Linked DNA regions of Macaca fascicularis. The main gene of each other region encodes a partner of the protein of the gene in region 4 in a complex. Links are inferred from orthologs where the notes say so. Each region holds a gene or a part of one and is shown on either strand. Other genes may lie near its edges.

Evidence for each region.
Region 1: the proteins of AXIN1 (region 4) and SIAH1 are in contact, whole or in part, in a crystal structure (PDB 5WZZ), measured with the Homo sapiens proteins. The link is inferred for Macaca fascicularis from reciprocal best matches to the Homo sapiens genes AXIN1 and SIAH1. Residues at the interface, in NP_003493.1 of Homo sapiens: Pro378, Lys379, Glu380, Val381, Arg382, Val383, Glu384, Pro385, Gln386, Lys387; in NP_003022.3 of Homo sapiens: Cys130, Pro131, Ser154, Thr156, Leu158, Asp162, Ile163, Val164, Phe165, Leu166, Ala167, Thr168, Asp169, Val176, Asp177, Trp178, Val179, Met180, Asn272.
Region 2: the proteins of AXIN1 (region 4) and GSK3B are in contact, whole or in part, in a crystal structure (PDB 4B7T), measured with the Homo sapiens proteins. The link is inferred for Macaca fascicularis from reciprocal best matches to the Homo sapiens genes AXIN1 and GSK3B. Residues at the interface, in NP_003493.1 of Homo sapiens: Glu384, Pro385, Gln386, Phe388, Ala389, Glu391, Leu392, Ile393, Arg395, Leu396, Glu397, Val399, Gln400; in NP_001139628.1 of Homo sapiens: Ile228, Phe229, Val263, Asp264, Leu266, Val267, Ile270, Lys271, Asn287, Tyr288, Phe291, Lys292, Phe293, Pro294, Gln295, Ile296.
Region 3: the proteins of AXIN1 (region 4) and DVL2 are in contact, whole or in part, in a crystal structure (PDB 6JCK), measured with the Homo sapiens proteins. The link is inferred for Macaca fascicularis from reciprocal best matches to the Homo sapiens genes AXIN1 and DVL2. Residues at the interface, in NP_003493.1 of Homo sapiens: Arg821, Tyr823, Lys825, Lys826, Glu830, Phe831, Val835, Val836, Phe837, Glu838, Glu839, Lys857, Glu859, Asp862; in NP_004413.1 of Homo sapiens: Lys15, Ile17, Tyr18, Glu23, Glu24, Thr25, Pro26, Tyr27, Leu28, Val29, Val46, Leu47, Gln48, Arg49, Pro50, Phe81, Arg84.

What each region holds. Positions count from the first base shown.
Region 1 is NC_088394.1:44,266,246-44,269,938, forward strand, and holds the end of SIAH1 (E3 ubiquitin-protein ligase SIAH1), read right to left. Parts: intron 2,813-3,693; coding exon 1,962-2,812; coding exon of another isoform or gene 1,859-1,961; 3' UTR 888-1,858; downstream 1-887. Other genes in the region: LONP2 (lon protease homolog 2, peroxisomal), read left to right, coding at 1,859-1,978. UniProt on the Homo sapiens protein: E3 ubiquitin-protein ligase that mediates ubiquitination and subsequent proteasomal degradation of target proteins.
Region 2 is NC_088376.1:163,084,817-163,089,775, forward strand, and holds the start of GSK3B (glycogen synthase kinase-3 beta), read left to right. Parts: upstream 1-1,904; 5' UTR 1,905-2,922; coding exon 2,923-3,010; intron 3,011-4,959. UniProt on the Homo sapiens protein: Constitutively active protein kinase that acts as a negative regulator in the hormonal control of glucose homeostasis, Wnt signaling and regulation of transcription factors and microtubules, by phosphorylating and inactivating glycogen synthase (GYS1 or GYS2), EIF2B, CTNNB1/beta-catenin, APC, AXIN1, DPYSL2/CRMP2, JUN, NFATC1/NFATC, MAPT/TAU and MACF1.
Region 3 is NC_088390.1:7,280,814-7,285,890, forward strand, and holds the start of DVL2 (segment polarity protein dishevelled homolog DVL-2), read right to left. Parts: upstream 3,069-5,077; 5' UTR 2,814-3,068; coding exon 2,620-2,813; intron 1-2,619. Other genes in the region: PHF23 (PHD finger protein 23), read right to left, coding at 4,179-4,393, 4,485-5,077.
Region 4 is NC_088394.1:1,039,651-1,044,661, forward strand, and holds the end of AXIN1 (axin-1), read right to left. Parts: intron 4,663-5,011; coding exon 4,555-4,662; intron 3,011-4,554; coding exon 2,843-3,010; intron 1,636-2,842; coding exon 1,509-1,635; 3' UTR 844-1,508; downstream 1-843. Other genes in the region: PDIA2 (protein disulfide-isomerase A2), read left to right, coding at 1-148, 245-355, 478-522. UniProt on the Homo sapiens protein: Component of the beta-catenin destruction complex required for regulating CTNNB1 levels through phosphorylation and ubiquitination, and modulating Wnt-signaling.

The DNA.
Region 1 (3,693 bases), about 43 Mb from region 4:
TGCAGTGAGCCAAGATCACACCACTGCACTCCAGCCTGGGCGACGAGTTAAACTCCGTCTCAAAAAAAAAAAGAACAAAGGCTCCACAAGCACATTATAACCAGTTCAAAAGATAATATTGACATAAGGATGAGACTACACAATCATCTTTTCTGAAAATGGATAATAGAAATAAACTCTTATCCAAAATTATCCAGAATCAGTGGTGGGATAAGGGTGAAGTCCAAATTTTCATTAACTTTCTAGGCTTACAGTACCAATACAAACCACACAAAATTATCTTTCACTATTCAGAAGGCAATTTCAGAATCTTGCCATGTGCCTCAAAGTAATTAGCAAGTTAACTACATGGTACTAAAGGCATAATGGTAGCTAACATTCACTGGATGCTGATATGAACAAAGCACTGTTTGAGGTAACATACCTGTACCCCATTAAAACTTTTTAAGTAGCTACCATAATTTAACCCCACTTTACACATTAGGAAACTGGGGCCCAAGGTCACACAGCTGGTTAGTGGGGTAGAGCCGAGACTGGCACTTAGGTGCCTGAAGTCTGGCTGCAGAACCAAGGCTCTTAACCACTAGGCTATGAAATAGTAAATTTATTATTTCATTGTGCTTTTTTAAAGAGGTGAAAAGTGGTCAGCATTTTAGTCATTCTCCTGACAGTTGTAAGAATCAAAATGTGGGCAAGAGGGGCAGAGCATGGGAAAGACTGTAATCCAGAAGCCATATACCCAGTTATTTGCTGTGATTTAGAGTATAACTCTACCACACTTAAAAATGACAACACACAGCTTTCTGCTATATAATTAAAGTACGGAATGAAACAGGAAAATAACTTTGGATTTTATCAAACTTAGAGCTAAAGCAGACACAGTAAGATTTTTTTAATTTGCCAGAAATTCTTTTAATGAGAATTATAAAAGACCAAAAACATTTTTTTGCAAACTGCCTTTTTAAACAAATGATTTGCTTTTAATTACAAATACTGTGCATGACGATGCCTTCTTTTGCAAAACCAATAAATACAAGAACAAATTTTAAACATGTGATTTATCCAAGATATTTGAAAAAGGAAACAAAAGCCTGATTTGCAGTACTTATAAAAATCAATTTATTCTCTAACCTTTCAAAGATTAAGCTCAAAGGTGTGACTCATCCGTAGAAGAGAGAAAGAGAGAGACCATCTTACAGATGCTTTAAATAGCTTTTGATCATTTTTCCGATGTCACCTTTACTTTCTGGAACTCATAGCTTCACAAAGTAGCTGATTTTAAAATATTTCTAATGAACTGATTAATGGGGGAAAAGAAAATATTGAACACATGTTACAAACTTTTACCATAACAAGTATGCATATCAAAAGACACTAACTTTAAAATGGTACAAAAAAAGTGAAGAAAAACCTGAATTACAGAAAGGAAAGTCAAATTTATTTAATGAAAAACTAAAATTAATAAAAATTAGCAAATACACACACAAAAAAGCACACAGCAGCACTATGTATTGACTCACAAAGGGGAAAAGCAGTGGCCCATGACCACTCAAGATGGCTTGTCAGTTAAAGGAGAAAAACCCAAACACGCACACACCCACGCACGCACACACTCCCACGCAAAAACAAAACAAAATAACTATTTTTCAACAATACAATCAATCTACAACAAACACAAAACTCAGAATTATTTTACAATGCTTCCTTTCTTAATACAAAAGATGCCCATCTTGGGTGTATATACATATATTTTTTCAGTGGTTTACTGTTGACTTATTTTTAAATATATTAGTGTTACTACATGCAACTGTTTCCTGTATTTAACAGCCTTTCCTTTCATTTACCTTCATGTGTCTAGCTTCCACCTACCAAAAGAATTTTAGGTTGGCAGGCAGATGGGTGCCTTATTTTCTGTGAAACTGAAGTTTTAAACACTGGCCAGAAAATGTTTGATTGCCATTTCAACACATGGAAATAGTTACATTGATGCCTAAATTGCCATTTTCTGCAAAAAGCTGTGCAATGCTGGTGTCAAAGACTAGGCAGTCGCTATTCATAATGGCTGTTGCAATTCCTTCATGAATAGATCGAGGAGTCGCTTCCCAAGTCAATCGTCGCCTGTGACCATTTAGCTCAAGTCGGTAAGCAAAATTTTCAGCTTGCTTGCGTGTTCCTATCAGCTGTACAATTGCAAAGAACTGCTGGTGACCATCGTATTTTTCCTGTTTCTCCAAGACTAACATGAAGTGAAAGCCAAAACAGGACTGCATCATCACCCAGTCAACAGCACCAGGAAGATTAATGTCTGTAGCAAGGAAAACTATATCCTCTCCCTGTAGGGTTGTAATGGACTTATGCTGATGCATCAGATGGGGCATTACAGCATCCAAAGAGCCTTGCCATTTACAGGAAGCACCAGGGCACGGACAGGAATAAGGCCTAAACTCACAGAGCTCTTCGTGGTCTGCTTTTTCTGTGTGTGGCAGAGTTATTTCACATCCAGAAGAGGCATATTTACAGGGGAAAAGTACTGAATTAGCCACTTTCTCCATAGCCAAGTTGCGAATGGATCCCAAAGGGCCCCGGCAAGTTGGACAACATGTGAGCTTTGGGCGACAGTTGCTACAAACAAGATGGCCACTCTGACATTGAAGAATGGGTGGTAACACATAGTCAAAGCAGACTGGACACTCAAAAAGACTCGCCAAGTCATTGTTGGATGCAGTTGTGCCAGTCAGGGCAGGTACCCTCTGGGATGGTGGACACTTCGAGGTACCGGTAGGTAATGCTGTAGCAGTCTGACGGCTCATTTCTGAAATAAATACATAAGGAGGCAGGAGAAAAATAATTATAACCATGACTTATTTTACAAATAATGTTTACATGCCAGAAGTACTTAAAGTTTCATGCAAAATTTACTGAGCAAAAGAGAAAGAAAAATAAATAGAATTTAAAAAGTAACATACTAAAAAATAAAATTACACTGAATGTGCACTTTATTAGGATCTGTACACTGGATAAGCTCTCTTTTCAAAATATTCCGGAAAACATTTGGAACTCCCTTAATCGTCTTTGGATAGACTACATGGAATAATAAATGCTAAAATAGAAGATGGACCATAAACAACTAGAGAAACTATACAAGGAACTGAAGTTTAATCGAATCCGTTTTGCTAGGACTCTCTCCCTGAGACTCCCTTACTCTTATTTCTTTCTAATTTGGAGTCAGCTATTGATAGGTATAGGGAGTTACAGGTGAAGTCCTGGATAAAATCGGCACTCTGTATTCACACGGTCTGCATCCAAGGACTTCACCACAGCCATGGATTGAAAATATTCAGAAAAATTTACAAATAATACAAAATTTTTAAAATACAGTCTATAACAACTATTTACGTATTATTTACATTGTATTAAGTAATCCAGAGATAATTTAAATTATACAGGAGAATATGCACATACATATACGACACCATTTTCTATCAGGGACTTGAGCATCCTCAGGTTTTGGTATGGGGAAGGGGGTCCTAGAACTAATCTTCCGAGGATACCGCAGGACAAGTGTAGTTCCAATGCCAAAGAATCAGAGAACCTTCCATTAACTCTTCTTAATGGTAAACCATTATCTACTCTAGAGGTGTACTTTGGGAATGAGGGGAGGGGTCACAAGGGGAAAGGTCTGCTGCCATCCCA
Region 2 (4,959 bases), on a different chromosome or scaffold from region 4:
ACAATCTGCTAGAGCTGAGCAGCTGTTCCTTCTAGTTATGGCATGGATATTCCAATTTGCCATTTCCCCCATCATTCCCCATTGTCTTACACAAGGCCAGTCTCACTCATTTGCTTTACTTGTCTGGCCTCTATAGCCATCTGAATCTGCAAACACTATCTGGACCTTTCCTGTCTTCCATCAAAGCTTACTTTGTTCTGTCCCAAGTCCTTCATCAGTGTTTCAAAGCAAGAGCCAGGTAATCTGATCAAATTTAGGTCCTTTTACTTGTGCTTTCTGGAGACAGTATCCTAACTGAAAGAGATGATTCTGCAGGTAGAAATTACAGGAAACACTGGATTACAATCAGGATGGCAACTGTCTGTTCTACTTTCTCTCTCTTGACGTAGCCATACCTCACTGTTCTAAAGCAGACCAAAGGAACTGGTTCTATCGTAGAACAATGGACGCTGGTCTTACATATGAAATCTATTCAAGCTGCACTTTTATAGATCACCCTAATTCCAAAAGATCCAAAACTACCACGGGCTCCTCTAACCCCCCATTTCCTTGGAGGCTTCAGGATATCCGGCCTGACGGCATTTCCCCTCACCTGCTTTCGGGGCCCGTTTTGCGCTGGGCAGTTGCGCCCAAGGAGCGCGCGCATCCAGCATGAGCTCATTTCTCATGGGCGTTTCCAGAGGCCCGGCCGGGCCGCGCACACCAAGCGCAGCGGGCCTCTCTATCAATGGCCCCCGAGGCTGGGCGGGGCGCGGCCGCCCAAAGAAGCTTTGTTCCCATTTTAGCGTCTGAGAGCTTGCTGCCGGCTGGGAAGGCCCCCTTTGTCCGTCAGGCCCTTTCGGGGAAGAGGCCGACACCCGGCACACGCGATCCAGGGCAGAGGAGAGCCTTAGGCGCGCAGAATTGGCTGCGCCCCGCCGAGAGCCTCCTGTGGATGGGGAGAACCCCTCGACCCCTCTGCTCGCTTGAGCGCTTAGAACCCAGCGCCGCCGACCGCAGCACTTTCCGATTTGCTGCGCCTAGGGCAGGCGGTCCCTATTTGCGGTTTCCACCGTAGTTGGAGGCCGCAGGCGAGCCGTCGGGTCGTCAGCCACGACCCTAGTCGGGCATCTCCCAGGTCCTGGGACGAAGGCCGAAGGCCAATCACACCGCAGCTAGGTCTTGCGATTGGACGGCAGTGAGAGCCGATTGGCCACCGCCGCGAGTTTCGAGCTCCACCCTCTCCCTTTTGCCCCAACTCCAGCGCCTAAGCTTCCGGCCAATGAGACGGCGCTTTATAGACGCCCTCCCTTCGCTTTCTTTTCCCCACCTTGGAGAGGGAGGGGGAGTCCTGACTGGCCAAACTGTCCTCGGAAGCCCCCTTCCCTTCACCAATCACCGAGGGAGGTACGCTCCCAGCGGAGTTTTCCAGCCAATTACAAAGCGGCGGCGGCGCCCAACCGTGCAGTTTCACCAGCGTCTCTGGGTTTCACCGTCTTCAACTCTTCAAGCTTTTTCGTGAGGGCCGGCGACTCTGATTGGCCACTGTTGCCATTGTCGAATGTCTCCTCCAGCCAGCCACCGAACCAGGCGAAATCACCCTTTCCGTTCGGCTGCCTTCGGCATTTTCCGCTCTTTGGGCGTGGCTTTCCAGCGTCACTTTCTAATTGGTTTCTCAGGCCGATCGGCTTTTTCCGGGAGGAGCCGCAAACAAACGACGTCCGTGATTGGCTCCGTTCGGGCTTCGGCTCCCAGCCGAAGCGGGCGAGAGTGGGGCTCGGGCGGCGATTCCCAGACGCCTGTTACGCGGGCGGCGGTGCGCTGGGCGGTGTAAGGCTGGGTGGGGGAGGAAGGAGGTGGAGGAAGAGTAGGAAGGGGGAGGGGGAGTGGGGAAGTGCAAGGCGGCTGCGCAGACAGCGCTTCTCACACAGAGCAGCCCCTGACCCGGGCGAATGCGGGCTTGTGCCGCCGCTGCCGCCGCCGCCCGGGCCGAGTGACAAAGGAAGGAAGGAAGGAAGGAAGCGAGGAGGAGCCGGCCCCGCAGCCGCTGACAGGGTTCTGGGCTGGGGGCAAAGCGCGGACACTTCCTGAGCGGGCACCGAACAGAGGCGAGGGGCGGGAGGGCGGCCGAGCTGTTGCCGCGGACGGGGGAGGGGGCCCCGAGGGACGGAAGCGGTTGCCGGGTTCCCATGTCCCCGGCGTATGGGGAGCAGTCGAGGAGCCGCTGCCTGGGGTCTGAAGGGAGCTGCCTCCGCCACCGCCGCCGCCATGGCCGCTGGATCCAGCCGCCGCCTGCAGCTGCTCCTGGCGCAATGAGGAGAGGAGCCGCCGCCACCGCCCGCCTCTGACTGACTCGCGACTCCGCCGCCCTCCAGTTCGCCGGGCCCCCGCCGTCAGCCCGCCGGATCCCACGGCTGCCGGAGCTGCAGCGTTTCCCGTCGCATCTCCGAGCCACCCCCTCCCTCCCTCTCCCTCCCTCCTACCCATCCCCCTTTCTCTTCAAGCGTGAGACTCGTGATCCTTCCGCCGCTTCCCTTCTTCATTGACTCGGAAAAAAAATCCCCGAGGAAAATATAATATTCGAAGTACTCATTTTCAATCAAGTATTTGCCCCTGTTTCACGTGATACATATTTTTTTAGGATTTGCCCCTTCTTTTCTCTCCTCCCAGGAAAGGGAGGGGAAGGAATTGTATTTTTTCCCCAGCCGTAAATCATCTATATGTTAAATATCCGTGCCGATCTGTCTTGAAGGAGAAATACATCGCTTGTTTTGTTTTTTATAGTATACAAAAGGAGTGAAAAACCAAGAGGACGAAGTCTTTTTCTTTTTCTTCTGTGGGAGAACTTAATGCTGCATTTATCATTAACCTAACACCCCAACATAAAGACAAAAGGAAGAAAAGGAGGAAGGAAGGAAAAGGTGATTCGCGAAGAGAGTGATCATGTCAGGGCGGCCCAGAACCACCTCCTTTGCGGAGAGCTGCAAGCCGGTGCAGCAGCCTTCAGCTTTTGGCAGCATGAAAGTTAGCAGTGAGTATTGATTTTATTTTACGCCCCTTTTCCACTTCGCCCTTAAAATAAGAAATCTCGGAATACCAGGATCTGAAAATATTAGACTTCCTAATATAACAAACAAGCAATGGAAAAGGGCAAAACCTATCTTCAGTCAAGGATGAAGCAGCTCCCTCTTTACTCCTCCCATACCCCCTCCCCCGGTCTCATTAACCTTGAATTGAGATAATATGATTTTTATTTGGATGATTCGATTTGAAACTGCTTTCTTATACTTTTCTTGCTGTTGGTAGTCAGTTTCATCAAGTGCTTGAGTGTTTCCACGTTAGTGATGACCGTGTTTACTTGCCCATCCTTTAGAATAAAGAGAAGGACAAGATTTGATTAATAAACCATTGTGCACATTTGCAGAATGTATGTCTTTTGGAATAAGAGGGTATTTTAGGTCTCAGGATTTATCATAGTTTGGTATACTTAATAGAGACATTAAACGTCCCACCCTCCCAACATTTTTTTCTTGTCTGTATGACTACACATAGTATTTGTTCTTAATCTGTGGATGAACTTGCTCAGTAACCATTCACATTTGGAGGCTGTCATTGATTTCTCTCTTTAGAAGGGACTAGTGGGAGCCAATAAATACCCAGCAGCAGTAGCATCTCTGTATGCATTTGTGTTCGATTGGATTAGTGGTTTGATGTGTTCTCTCTTAACCTTCCTGTTTTGACATTACCAACCTGCCACCGTATAATTTATATTTAATCAAAAGGTAACATGGAAGTATTAATAGGTCCAGGTTTTGATTGAGATTTGTTTTGTCATAGTGCCAAATAGTAAGTTAAATGTTGTCACTGGCTCATTACATTTAAGTTCAATTTTGGAGTACTGTTGCGCTCCTGTTAAATGTTCTGGGGGGTTCCTTAAAAAGGACGATTTAAAATACTCTTGCGTTAGTTTCCATCACATTTAGATAACTGTGGATTTAGTTAGAAGAATGTGGATTTAGTCCTTTCCATTTTGGCTTTTGCAGATGGCTGTGGTCCTGCAAATAATAGGGATATTTGGACTGTGTTCAGGGTTGTAGATAGACTACTCTTGTCCTGGGTTTGTGCTGAGAAGTATGCTTTTGAATGTTTAGTATATACTAAGTATCTAATGTTCCAGTGTATCTCTATTTATGGAGAAGTTCATGTGGTGTTTAATGACAGCTTGTTTAAACATACTTTCAGAATTTAACAAAAATATCTATGTTGTTTCCTTATTGTGGGAAAGAGGGTCATCATGAGGGCAAAGAAATTACTGTGTTGCTTAGAAGAACGAAGAGAACTAAAAAACTGAGATTTTAAGAACTGACACACACAAAAAACATGTATGTTATGTGAAATTGATTATATTCTTAGGCAACATAAAATGATCACTTTTAGTTGAACTCAAGATTTCATTTCGTGTTGGCTTTGGGAACTAGCCTGAAACAGGGTAGTCTAGGTAATAGCTGAATGGGAGATTATTTTTCAAAGTTAATTTTTTTTTTCCCCCGGTGGTTTGCAAGTAGAGAATGCCGGGGTAGGAAAAGAGGACAGCTGATTATGCATCTTTCAGGGAAGGGTCGTGCTTTCTAAGCGCTTCATGGAGTCATTTGAAAAATATTTTAAAATTCCGGGGTAATTTTCAGCTATGATGATACAAATCTTATAATAACTACTTAAGAGCCTCTTGTGGTACTGGAGTGTTTGTATGTTTTACATCTTGGTAATATAGTTTGAAAACCAGTCAATCAATTTCAGCTAATTGATTTATTAGCTTTATTTCAGAGATCTATAATGCTAGATTATAATGCTACATTTTGGGACTTTTCATTTTCTTTCCAGGATTTTCTTTGAAATGACTTTTGAATTTTTGATAATGCAGATACTAAGGATGGAGTAACTCTTGTAAAATATATAGATGAAAATGTTTATTTTCCGATT
Region 3 (5,077 bases), on a different chromosome or scaffold from region 4:
AAAAGGCTTCGGTCCTCAACCAAGTCTCTACTTTTATACTTGCCTTTAGTTTTCACTAATTCATTTCCAGAAGACTGTCCTTTCTTGAGTAAAAACACCCATTAGAGGCCAGGCATAGTGGCTCACACCTGTAATCCCAGCACTTTGAGAGGCCAAAGTGGGTGGATTACCTGAGGCCAGGAGCTGGCCAACATGATGAAACCCTGTCTCTCCTAAAAATACAAAAATGAGCCGGGCACGGTGGTGCACACTATAATCCCAACTACTCCGGAAGCCGAAGTAGGAGAATCGCTTGAACTCAGGAGGCGGAGGTTGCAGTGAGCCGAGATTGCGCCACTGCACTCCAGCCTGGGCGACAGAGTGAGATTCCACCTCAAACAAACAAAAAACAACAAAAAACAAAACCACCCACCATTAGATCAAACAAACAATGGAAGCTCCTCATTAGACTGAAAGCTCCCAAGGAGAGAGCAAGCTGGCGCTCCCATTCCCCTGTGCCTCATCTGGCACAAAATTCGGCACGAAGCAATCTGCTCAGCCTGACAGATCCCAAAGCCCAGCCTTGGGGTCATCTCTCCAATGGGTTCCCTGTGGTGGACTGGACTTGCCCCTTCTTCTTGACCACGACATCAAACCATGAACACTTACTCTGATCAACACCATGTCCTGGCCACACACCACACACTGACACTTAGGCATTAACAAATACTGTCAACTAAATGAATAAACATATAAAGCATCAGACTCTCTGCCCTGGTTGTTTCTCTCTCTCTTTCCACACACACCCTTGCCGCCAAATTAGGACACCTTGTCTAATTAACCCATTAGCCTAATATGGTCATAAGAGCCAGGATATATATCAACTTAATCCATTTGCTGTCAATGTGACAACACAGCCCAGTCACTACCAATCTGTCTCAGCATCATGTAGGATTCTTCCCAACATAACACAATCTCAGCATAGCTCAGTCCACTCTTAAGACAAATTACTGTGTATCACCATAACCTTTATAGAGTAGTCAGCCTCAATACTAATGACAATTACCATTCACCAAGAATTCACCATGTACCACACACCTGAACTAACCATTTCATTCTGTGATTTTCTCCATGTCACAGACGAGATCAAGACACAAAATTTAAATTAATTGTCCAAGATTGCACTGCTGACAACTAGAAGAACCTTGACTTAAAGCCAAGATAACTCCCAAGATAGTATCACCCTTCCCATGTCAAACAATCTTTCTAGCTAGAGTCCAGTTTGTTCAGTTCTTCTAAAACCCATGCTATCTCAACTTAATCCAGCCTGCCTTCAAAAAAGCAGAGGTTGGGCTGGGCGCAGTGGCTCACGCCTGTAATCCCATCACTTTGGGAGGCCGAGGCGGTCCGATCATGAGGTCAGTAGATCGAGACCATCCTGGCTAACACGGTGAAACTCCGTCTCTACTAAAAAATACAAAAAATTAGCCAGGTGTGGTGGTGGGTGCCTGTAGTCCCAGCTAGTGGGGAGGCTGAGGCAGGAGAATGGCGTGAACCCGGGAGGCGGAGCTTGCAGTGAACCGAGAATCAGCCACTGCACTCCAGCCTGGGCGACAGAGCGAGACTCTTGTCTTTAAAAAAAAAAAAAAAAAAAAAAAGCAGAGGTTGAGGACCCAGAGAGGGCTCAGCCCCAAAGACCATAAACACAAAAGGGCTTTCTCTGCATTATTTACATGCCAATCTAGTCCAAGATAGCCCTGAATGTCCAAATTACCCTAGGATAGCCCAATCTATTCTAGCACAGCCTACAATGTCCCCACACGCAGCTGTCTGCACCAATATAGACTAGAATACCCCAATACAGCTACCTGTACTAGCATGGGCACCAACAGCCTTGTCTGCCCCCATACTGAGTGCTCCAATAAAACCATGTCTTGCCCCAAGATAAACCAGGATTAACCAATACAGCCCAGTAGAGTCCATAATGGCCCAAGTTTGTTTTGTTTTGTTTTTTGGTGTTTTTTTTTTTTTGGAGATGGAGTCTTGCACTGTCGTCCAGGCTGGAGTGCAGTGGCGCGATCTCGGCTCACTGCAACCTCCGCCTCCCAGGTTCAAGCGATTCTCCCTGCTTCAGCCTCCCAAGTAGCTGGGACTACAGGCGCCCGCCACCACGCCCGGCTAATTTTTTTGTATTTTTAGTTAGTACAGATGGGGCTTCACCGTGTTAGCCAGGATAGTCTCGATCTCCTGACTTCGTGATCCGCCCGCCTCGGCCTCCCAAAGTGCTGAGATTACAGGCGTTACAGGACTCCTGAGAACGTACTAAACGACCAGACGATAGATGAATTTACTCAGTACAGTCTAAAACACTCCAAAATAAACCAGTATGCCTCCACCTATTCCAGTAGAGCCTAATCGTCTCTAATCTGGTTTAGGATATCCTAGTCTGCCCGTGTGCCTCAATCTATCCAAGCATAACCTTGTCCATCCTGGGAGAGTCAACCTACCTCAGCATGGTACAATCTGCTCCACCACAGGCCAGAAAATCCTAGTGTGGCCCGAAGTAGATGTGTGCCCCTCCACGTCGCCCAATCCACTCTAGCAAAGCCCCCGTCGGTCCTATCTAGGCCTTGCGCTCACCCGAAATCCTGATCCATAGACTTGAAAAAGTACTTGGCGCCCGCGGGCCGCTGCAGGACGCTCTTGAAATCGCCGAGGGTGATGCGCTCGGCGGGGACAGGGATCTTCACCAGGTATGGAGTCTCTTCCTCATCCAGGTGGTAAATCACCTTCGTCTCCCCAACCCCACCGCCCCCAGCGCTGCTGCCCGCCATGGTCTCGCCCGCGCGCTCCCGGGCTCCACCGCCCACCCAAGGGGCTAATGGCCCCTGCCGCGCCTGCGCACACCCGCAAACCGACGAGCGAGCGCGGACAGGACGGACCCAGTACTGGAGAGAAGCAAAGGGAAAAAAGCAGGGGTCGGCAAGGGTGGCGGCGGGGGGCGGGCCGCGAGGTGCGACTCAAAGCCGCGGTCTCAGCGGCCGCCGCGCGCCACCGCCACCGACAACGCGAGCGTCCTCCAGGTCCCCGCCCACCTCTCCTCATGTCACGTGACCTAAGCCCGCCCACCCCGCGCTCTTCAGCCGCCCCCGTCACGTGACCCCTCCCAGTCACGTGACCGCGTGACTCCTCCTAGTGCCCCCGCCACGTGATCGCTGCCTTCGGCAACGGTCTCCCAGCCCCCAAAGGTGTACCCCAGCCGAGGTCCTCGGAGCACCCAGGATAAGCTGGCCTGTGCCCTCAGGAAGCGGACAGTCGGCTCCCACCCGGCTTTACCCCACACCGGCGGGAGCGCGAAGCAACTCTGACCCTCAGGAGTGTGCGTGCAGGGAGTGAAGGTGGGGATTGTGGGGGTTCCTAGACTCGAGTGGGGAGGGCCAAATACAATGAAAGCTCTGAGGTGGCTTACTCAAGTATCTTGGGGTGGGAGAGGCCCAGTGCTGTGCCATCTTCAGACTGGACTGTGAGAGGTGGCTTTCAGCACCACGTCCAGCTAGTCTTCAGCCACCAAAGCCTCCCTCCCAAGCAGGACAGTGAGGGCTATAAACACAAAAGAGCCCACTCTGCTTTATTTACAACACGCAGGCTGTCTGTACAAACAGCGGCCAATATTATTAAAAACAAAAGAGGTGAGTGAGAATCGTCACCTTTCTGCTTTCCTTCCTTGCTTGGCCAGGCTCTAGTACTCCACCTTTGAGCTGCCATGCCCAGTAGGGGAAGTCCAAAATTAAAAATACAACCGGTGTAGAAGAAAATAAATGGGGAGTGAAATAGAAGAAAAGATGAGGGAGGGGAGTGCTAATATTTACACTAGAGTTTTATAGACAACTGTCCCATTCCATCCCAATTCCAATCCTGACCCAGAAAGTGATGGTGGCAGGTCCAAGAGACAGAGATTATGTGTCTAGAGACACAGACAGCCTCCCACCCGCAACCGTAATGGGTTCAATTTCAAGTTCAGAGTGGGGAGGACGGATAGGGTAGGCAAGTGAGACACTCATTTTCAAACAAGTCTCCCTTGGGAATTCCTGCCTTGAAGTGCGGACAGTATCCAAGCTCCAGGGGGTAGGCTGAGGACCCTGAGGCTCAGTTCCCAAATCATGTTATCATTTGGAAGTTCCAGGCTAAAGTTGGTGCCGTCAGGGCTCTCCAGATTTGGGAGGCCCCCCTAACCGCCGGGCCTCTGGCCTCAGTTCCTTGCATTTCTGGCAATAAAAGAAGTCAGGGACGTTGGTCTTCTTAATCTTAGCACAGGAGAGGTGGATCCACGTCCCACACAGGCTGCACTCAATCATGGGCCGCCCTGCAAAGGGCTTTCGACAGTAACACGTGATCAGATCCCATGAGTCATCACCTGGGGAAAAAAGGTTTGTTTGGTATTCTGCCTGAGCAGTTGTTGGATCCACAACACCCTCAAACCCCTCGCCCCAGCCCAAACCTCTCACCTGATTCTACCATGATGTCCTCATCCATGACCCGCATCTCGCCTTCACTGGAGCTGGCATCTCCATCTTGGCTTGTTTCAGTGCTGCCCACCTCCTTGCTTTCACTGTCAGTAGGAGGGACTCCTTCAGGGTGCACTGTGGCAGGGGGCCTAGGAGCCTCGGGGGGTGTTGGGAGCACAGGGGCTGGGGCTTCACCCCCTACCACTGTTGCCATCTCTTCCTCTTCTTCCTCTTCCTCTTCCTCCTCCTCCTCTTCAGAGTCTGTATCACTGGGGGGTGCCTGGGGAGGCCCAGGAGGTGGGAGTCTATCCCCCCGTTCTGCCTTTTTTAACTTCCGCTTCTTGCTCTTCTTGATTCGAGATCTCTTTTCCCCATCCCCAGGAGTTGGCCGAGGCCTCCGAAGCACCCCAAAGCCAGCCCCAGCTCCTGGCCCCAACTTTCGGTTCTTTCGGTCCTTCTTTCGAGGAGGATGGGAGAGGTCCCCCTGGGAAAGGGGCACGGGGGTAAGAGCAGCAGGGGGCCGGGAGGTATGTGTCAGGGATGTGGGGGACAAAGGAGATGCCACCTTGGGCCCATCGAGATCAAAGAGAGAG
Region 4 (5,011 bases):
CCCTGCCTGGGAGGCGCTGGCTGAGAAGTACCAAGACCATGAGGACATCATCATTGCTCAGCTGGATGCCACGGCCAACGAGCTGGACGCCTTCGCCGTGCACAGCTTCCCTACCCTCAAGTACTTCCCAGCAGGGCCAGGTCGGAAGGTATGGGGGACAGGTGCCTGGGGAAGCTGGGATGCCATCCTCCTGGGCATGGGGCTGGGCCTGGCCTGTCCTCCAGAGCCTCCTGCCTCTCCTCAGGTGATTGAATATAAAAGCGCCAGGGACCTGGAGACCTTGTCCAAGTTCCTGGACAACGGGGGCGCGGTGCCCACGGAGGAGCCCACGGAGGAGCCGGCAGCCCCGTTCCCGGTGGGTGTCCCTAAGCCAGGGCTCCAGGCCTCTGCACAAACCGTCTTTACACGGGGCTGGTGGGGCGGGGGCAGGGGTAGGCTGGGAGCAGAGCTCCGAGCTGTACTTGTGACCCGTTCTAGGAGCCACGGGCCAACTCAACCGTGGGGTCCAAGGAGGAGCTGTAGCTACCCCCGTGTCACTCCCCTCCTCACCGCTGGACAGGAGGGCACCTCCTTGGGTGCTGGAGGGAGCTGTGCATTGTGAATAAAGAGCTTGGTTCTGGACTGTGTGTGCCTGATCCCTCAGCAAGGCTGGCCTGATGCAGCTCTGCCCAGACGCGGGCTCCTGGGAAGGAAGGTGGAGCACGTTCATGCTCTAGCTTGGCCAGCCTCTGAGTCACAGGACGACCCCCATGCCTGCTGGAGGCCAGCATGACCTTAACCACAGGGGCTGAGGCTGGGAGACCCAGGCCAGGCCCCACTGGCAGCAGACACACCACAGCCAGGGCAGGTTCAAAAACAGTTTTATTTATTATCCAAGTACCTTTGAAAAGATAATTGTACAAGTGTCATCGCATGAAAAACAGACCTGGGCAGCCCCTGCTGGCCCTGGCCTGAGAAATGTACATATTTACATGGGCCCTCAGAAAGGAGGACCCGGGACCGCGCAGCCGGCAGCTGGAGGCAGGTGCAGTACCCCGTCGCCGGCTCACACAGTGGCAGGCAAGAGACAAGCTGTGTTGAAGGCACTCGGTGGCGAGTACAATTGACAGAGGCCCTGCAGGCCTCTGCGCCCAGGCCTGGGGCTGCGCCCAGCCAGACCAGGGTACGTGGGCAAATCCCAGAGGGAAAAACAGATCCCAGCACACGTGCCCAGGGGAGGCGCCGGGGCGTCGCTTGAAGCCGGCAGCAGGGACCCTGGCTGCCCCACTTGGGCTAGGCCCTCCAAGTATTGCTATGGGGAGTGTCCGGCTGCCTCCTCGGGGGCAGGACAGAAGCCTGTGGACCACGCGGAGGGACCCCTACCCACCCAGACACGGTCAGACTGCAGGGGTGGGCGGCGCCCCCACGCTGTTCTCTATCGGGCTCCTGAGTACGAGGTCATCCGCCTGGCTGTGACACCTGTGCCCACCGAGGGCCTCGCCTGGTGCAGCGGTCAGCCCGCCAGCTGGTCAGTCCACCTTCTCCACTTTGCCAATTATCTTCTCCTCAAAGACGGGCAGGACGGCCTCATCCTCTCGAACCTCCTCGAACACCACCCCACAGTCAAACTCGTCGCTCACTTTCTTGAAGTAGTATCTGCAGGATGGAGGTGAGGAGCACAGTGAGCAGGCAGTGCCGCAGATGGGAGGAGGCCTGTGGCGGGGACGGCGTGTCCACACCCCCATCCCCAGGAGCCTCCTGTCCATGCCCCACCGCCCCCACCACTCCCACCACGTGCGCCCCTCCCAGGGCAACAGTGAACAGTGCAATGACCGCATGTGGGTGAAGTGGCAGCTACAGGGGGTGAGTTTACTGCCTGCTGGGAGGCACCCTACAGCCCCCTAGGAGTACCTGCCCCAGCCTCTCAGGAGGTGCAGGGGGGAAGTGGATGGGTGTGGGGTATCTGCTTCCCAAGGGCTGAGCCCTGTCATGGAAGTGACCCCGACTGGGGCCCTCCCTCAGCACCACATCTGCAGACACAGTCCACGGGTGTCTGCAGTCGCTTGTGGACAGAGGGAACCACCTCTGCCAGGCTCTTGTGGTCAGGCCCCCTCTGCTCACCCCCCAGTGCTCACTCAGGAGCCTCCAAGACTGGCTGCAGGCAGGCCCTCAGGGCTGAGGGGCCCAGGCCCAATGAACGTTGGTAGGATGGGGCCTGGCTTTTCAGTTGGGCAAAAGGAGCTGAATCCAGAGCCTAGAGACAAGGCTGGCCCAGGGGAGCCCGACACAAGGTTCAGACCATTGTTGTCTGGGCCTCTGGCTGTTTTCTCACCCCGAAGCTGAGGGCCCTGGAAGGAGTCCCTTAGGGACCCTCTCAGTCCTGTGGGGCCGAAGGCCTGAGGCCATCCTCAGCCCAGGGCTTGGAGAACTGGCGTAGGTGCAGATGAGGGACAGGAGCTGAAACAGCCGGAAAGCCTTTTTTTTTTTTTTTTTGGATAGAGACGGAGTCTCGCTCTGTCATCCAGGCTGGAGTTCTGGGGAGCAGTGGTGCGATCTCGGCTCACTGCAACCTCCGTCTCCTGAGTTCAAGCAATTCTGCCTCAGCCTCCCAAGTAAATGGGATTACAGGCACCCGCCACCACGCCTGGCTAATTTCTTTTGTATTTTTAGTAGAGAGAGGATTTCACCATGTTACCCAGGCTGGTCTCGATCTCCTGAGCTCAGGCAATCTGCCGGTCTCTGCCTCCCAAAATGCCAGGATTACAGAAGTGAGGCACCATGCCTGGCTAGAAACCCTCTTTTTCGTACTGCTGGGCACCCACGCACCCCTGCAGGGAGTGGGCACCCCAGCCCTCACACTCACCTGTAGCTGCCCTTTTTGGTCAGCAGCTCCTTGAACTGGCCCAGGGTGACAGCGCGGCCCCTCACCAGGGTGCGGTAGGGGATAGGCTCCCCACAGAAGTAGTATGCCACAACGATGCTGTCACACGGCTGGGCACTCCCGCCGCCCGCCTTCCTCTGCGATCTCGTCCTGGGGAAAGAGATGCAGCAGTGGTCCCTGGTTTTGGACTGAGGTCCCACAGGGTGCCTCCTGCTGGCCTCAGGCTGCCAGCAAAGGGTGGGGCAGGCCTGCAAACACCTGGGGCCCCAGGCCCCACTGCCCCCCCGCCGCAGCATCTCAATCTGGGGTCTACTCCACCAGCAGTGGAGTCTGACTCCACTCACTGGCAGCACAAAGGTCTCCCCGCTGCCTCACAGCCCCACCCTCGACTGGACAGGGCCTGGCCACTGGGCGCACTGCAGCTCTCACCTCTAGGATGGCAGGGCAGGCTGCATGGCTCCTATGCCAGGAAGACCTACGGCCCCCAAACCTTAAAAACATCTCAAGGGCAGGGATTGGACAAACAGAACTATGCACGATTTCTGGATGAGCCTGACCCCACAGTGAAGTCTGTCCCAGGACTGTTGCGGGTGCGGCCAGCAGGCCCTTCAGAGGGGGTGGGGCTGGCACCGTCTCCTGCCCAGGCTGAGCTGGGCCCTCCTCTTACAGGGGCTGTGCTTCCACTCACACCCTCTGCTTGGCTCCCCTGCCACCACCTGTCCCTCAGATGACTCCAGAAGCTGCCCCTGGCCCACTGGGGTTCAGGCCTCGGGCCTCCTGCTGGCTGCGTGCACTAGAGGCTGCCAGAGTCGACATCATGGCAGGAAGGCCTCACGGCCACCTCAGCCAGGTGACCGTCCACTTCGCACACCAGGGCCCCCACCCACCTGCATTCTTGGACTTTCTCCCAGAGCCACATCCTTGCAGCCCCCTGGAGCCAGGCCCATAGGAGAATGAGCCAACATGTGGGGGCTGCCCCAAGGACGGGTGAAGGCCCCTCCAAGACCCCCTAGAGGATGACAGCCACAACAAACCTGCATCTGGGGCAAGCCTGGTAAGGCCTGGGGGACCCCTGTTCTCAAGGCCCCTTTTGGGATATGCCCCTCCTGCCACCTTGAGCACACAAAGGCGCCACTGACACAGCCCATGTGGGATCACGTGGTATGGACACAGTAAGCCTTTCTCACGGGCTCGGAGTGGTCAGCACTGCAGGTGGGAGCAGAGCCCTGACTCACGGACTGCACGGACTGGACAGACGCACATAGTTGAGACCCACACTGCAAGCTGACGCACCTCGCGCACCTCAACACCTGCAGCCCCGACCCTGCTCAAGCCAGGTCTGCGGGGACCAGCCAGTTCCAAGCCGGGTGGGGCCAGGGGCAGGGGTAGGTCTCTGCCCCACAAGGGGCCTCCCATGACACCTGTGTGGATACAGGGCTGGCTGTGCCCAGGCCTCCAGCCGGGCCTGTTGGTCACTTATCGTCATGCTGGACAGTCAGCATCTCCTCTGATGGAGACGGGAGAAGGCTCTTGGGCAGCTTGGAGTCTGATGCCGTGGGACCCTCTCCTGCCACAGCTGCTTCTCAGCGTGGTACCTGAGCTCAGGCCCCAGGACGGCAGCTCTACCATGGGACCTGGCTTGAGACGCCTGGGCTGGGTGGGCAGGACCAGGAGGACCCTCAGGACGCACGTACTCTGTCTCGGAGAGCTCCATGTCCGACACGGCTGGTACCACGCGCAGCACTGGCGCGCACGCTGGCCTGACGCAGGCGCGTCCCCGCCGCATAACCTCCTGCACATACCTAGGGAACAACCCGCGTCAATGGTGGCTGCGCCGGCGGCCACCAGCCCTGGGGAAGGAGCCTCGACCAATGCTGCCGCGCAGGGACAGACGGAGCATGAAGGGGCTGTACAACCTGCCCCGTGAAGGCTCCAGTTTGCAGGGTGGACAAGACACCAAACCCCCTCCTAGGCCTCAGTGGTGCCAGACACTGCAGCACACTCCACACTCACGATCTGGGTACCAACCCCCCTGTTCCCCAGACCGCACTTTGGGGAGCTTCTGATCTGGGGTCCTGGGATCCTACCACCTCATCCCCTCTGGTGGGACGCCATCTCCTCCCGAGAGCCTGTCCTTGGGTCTCTGGCATG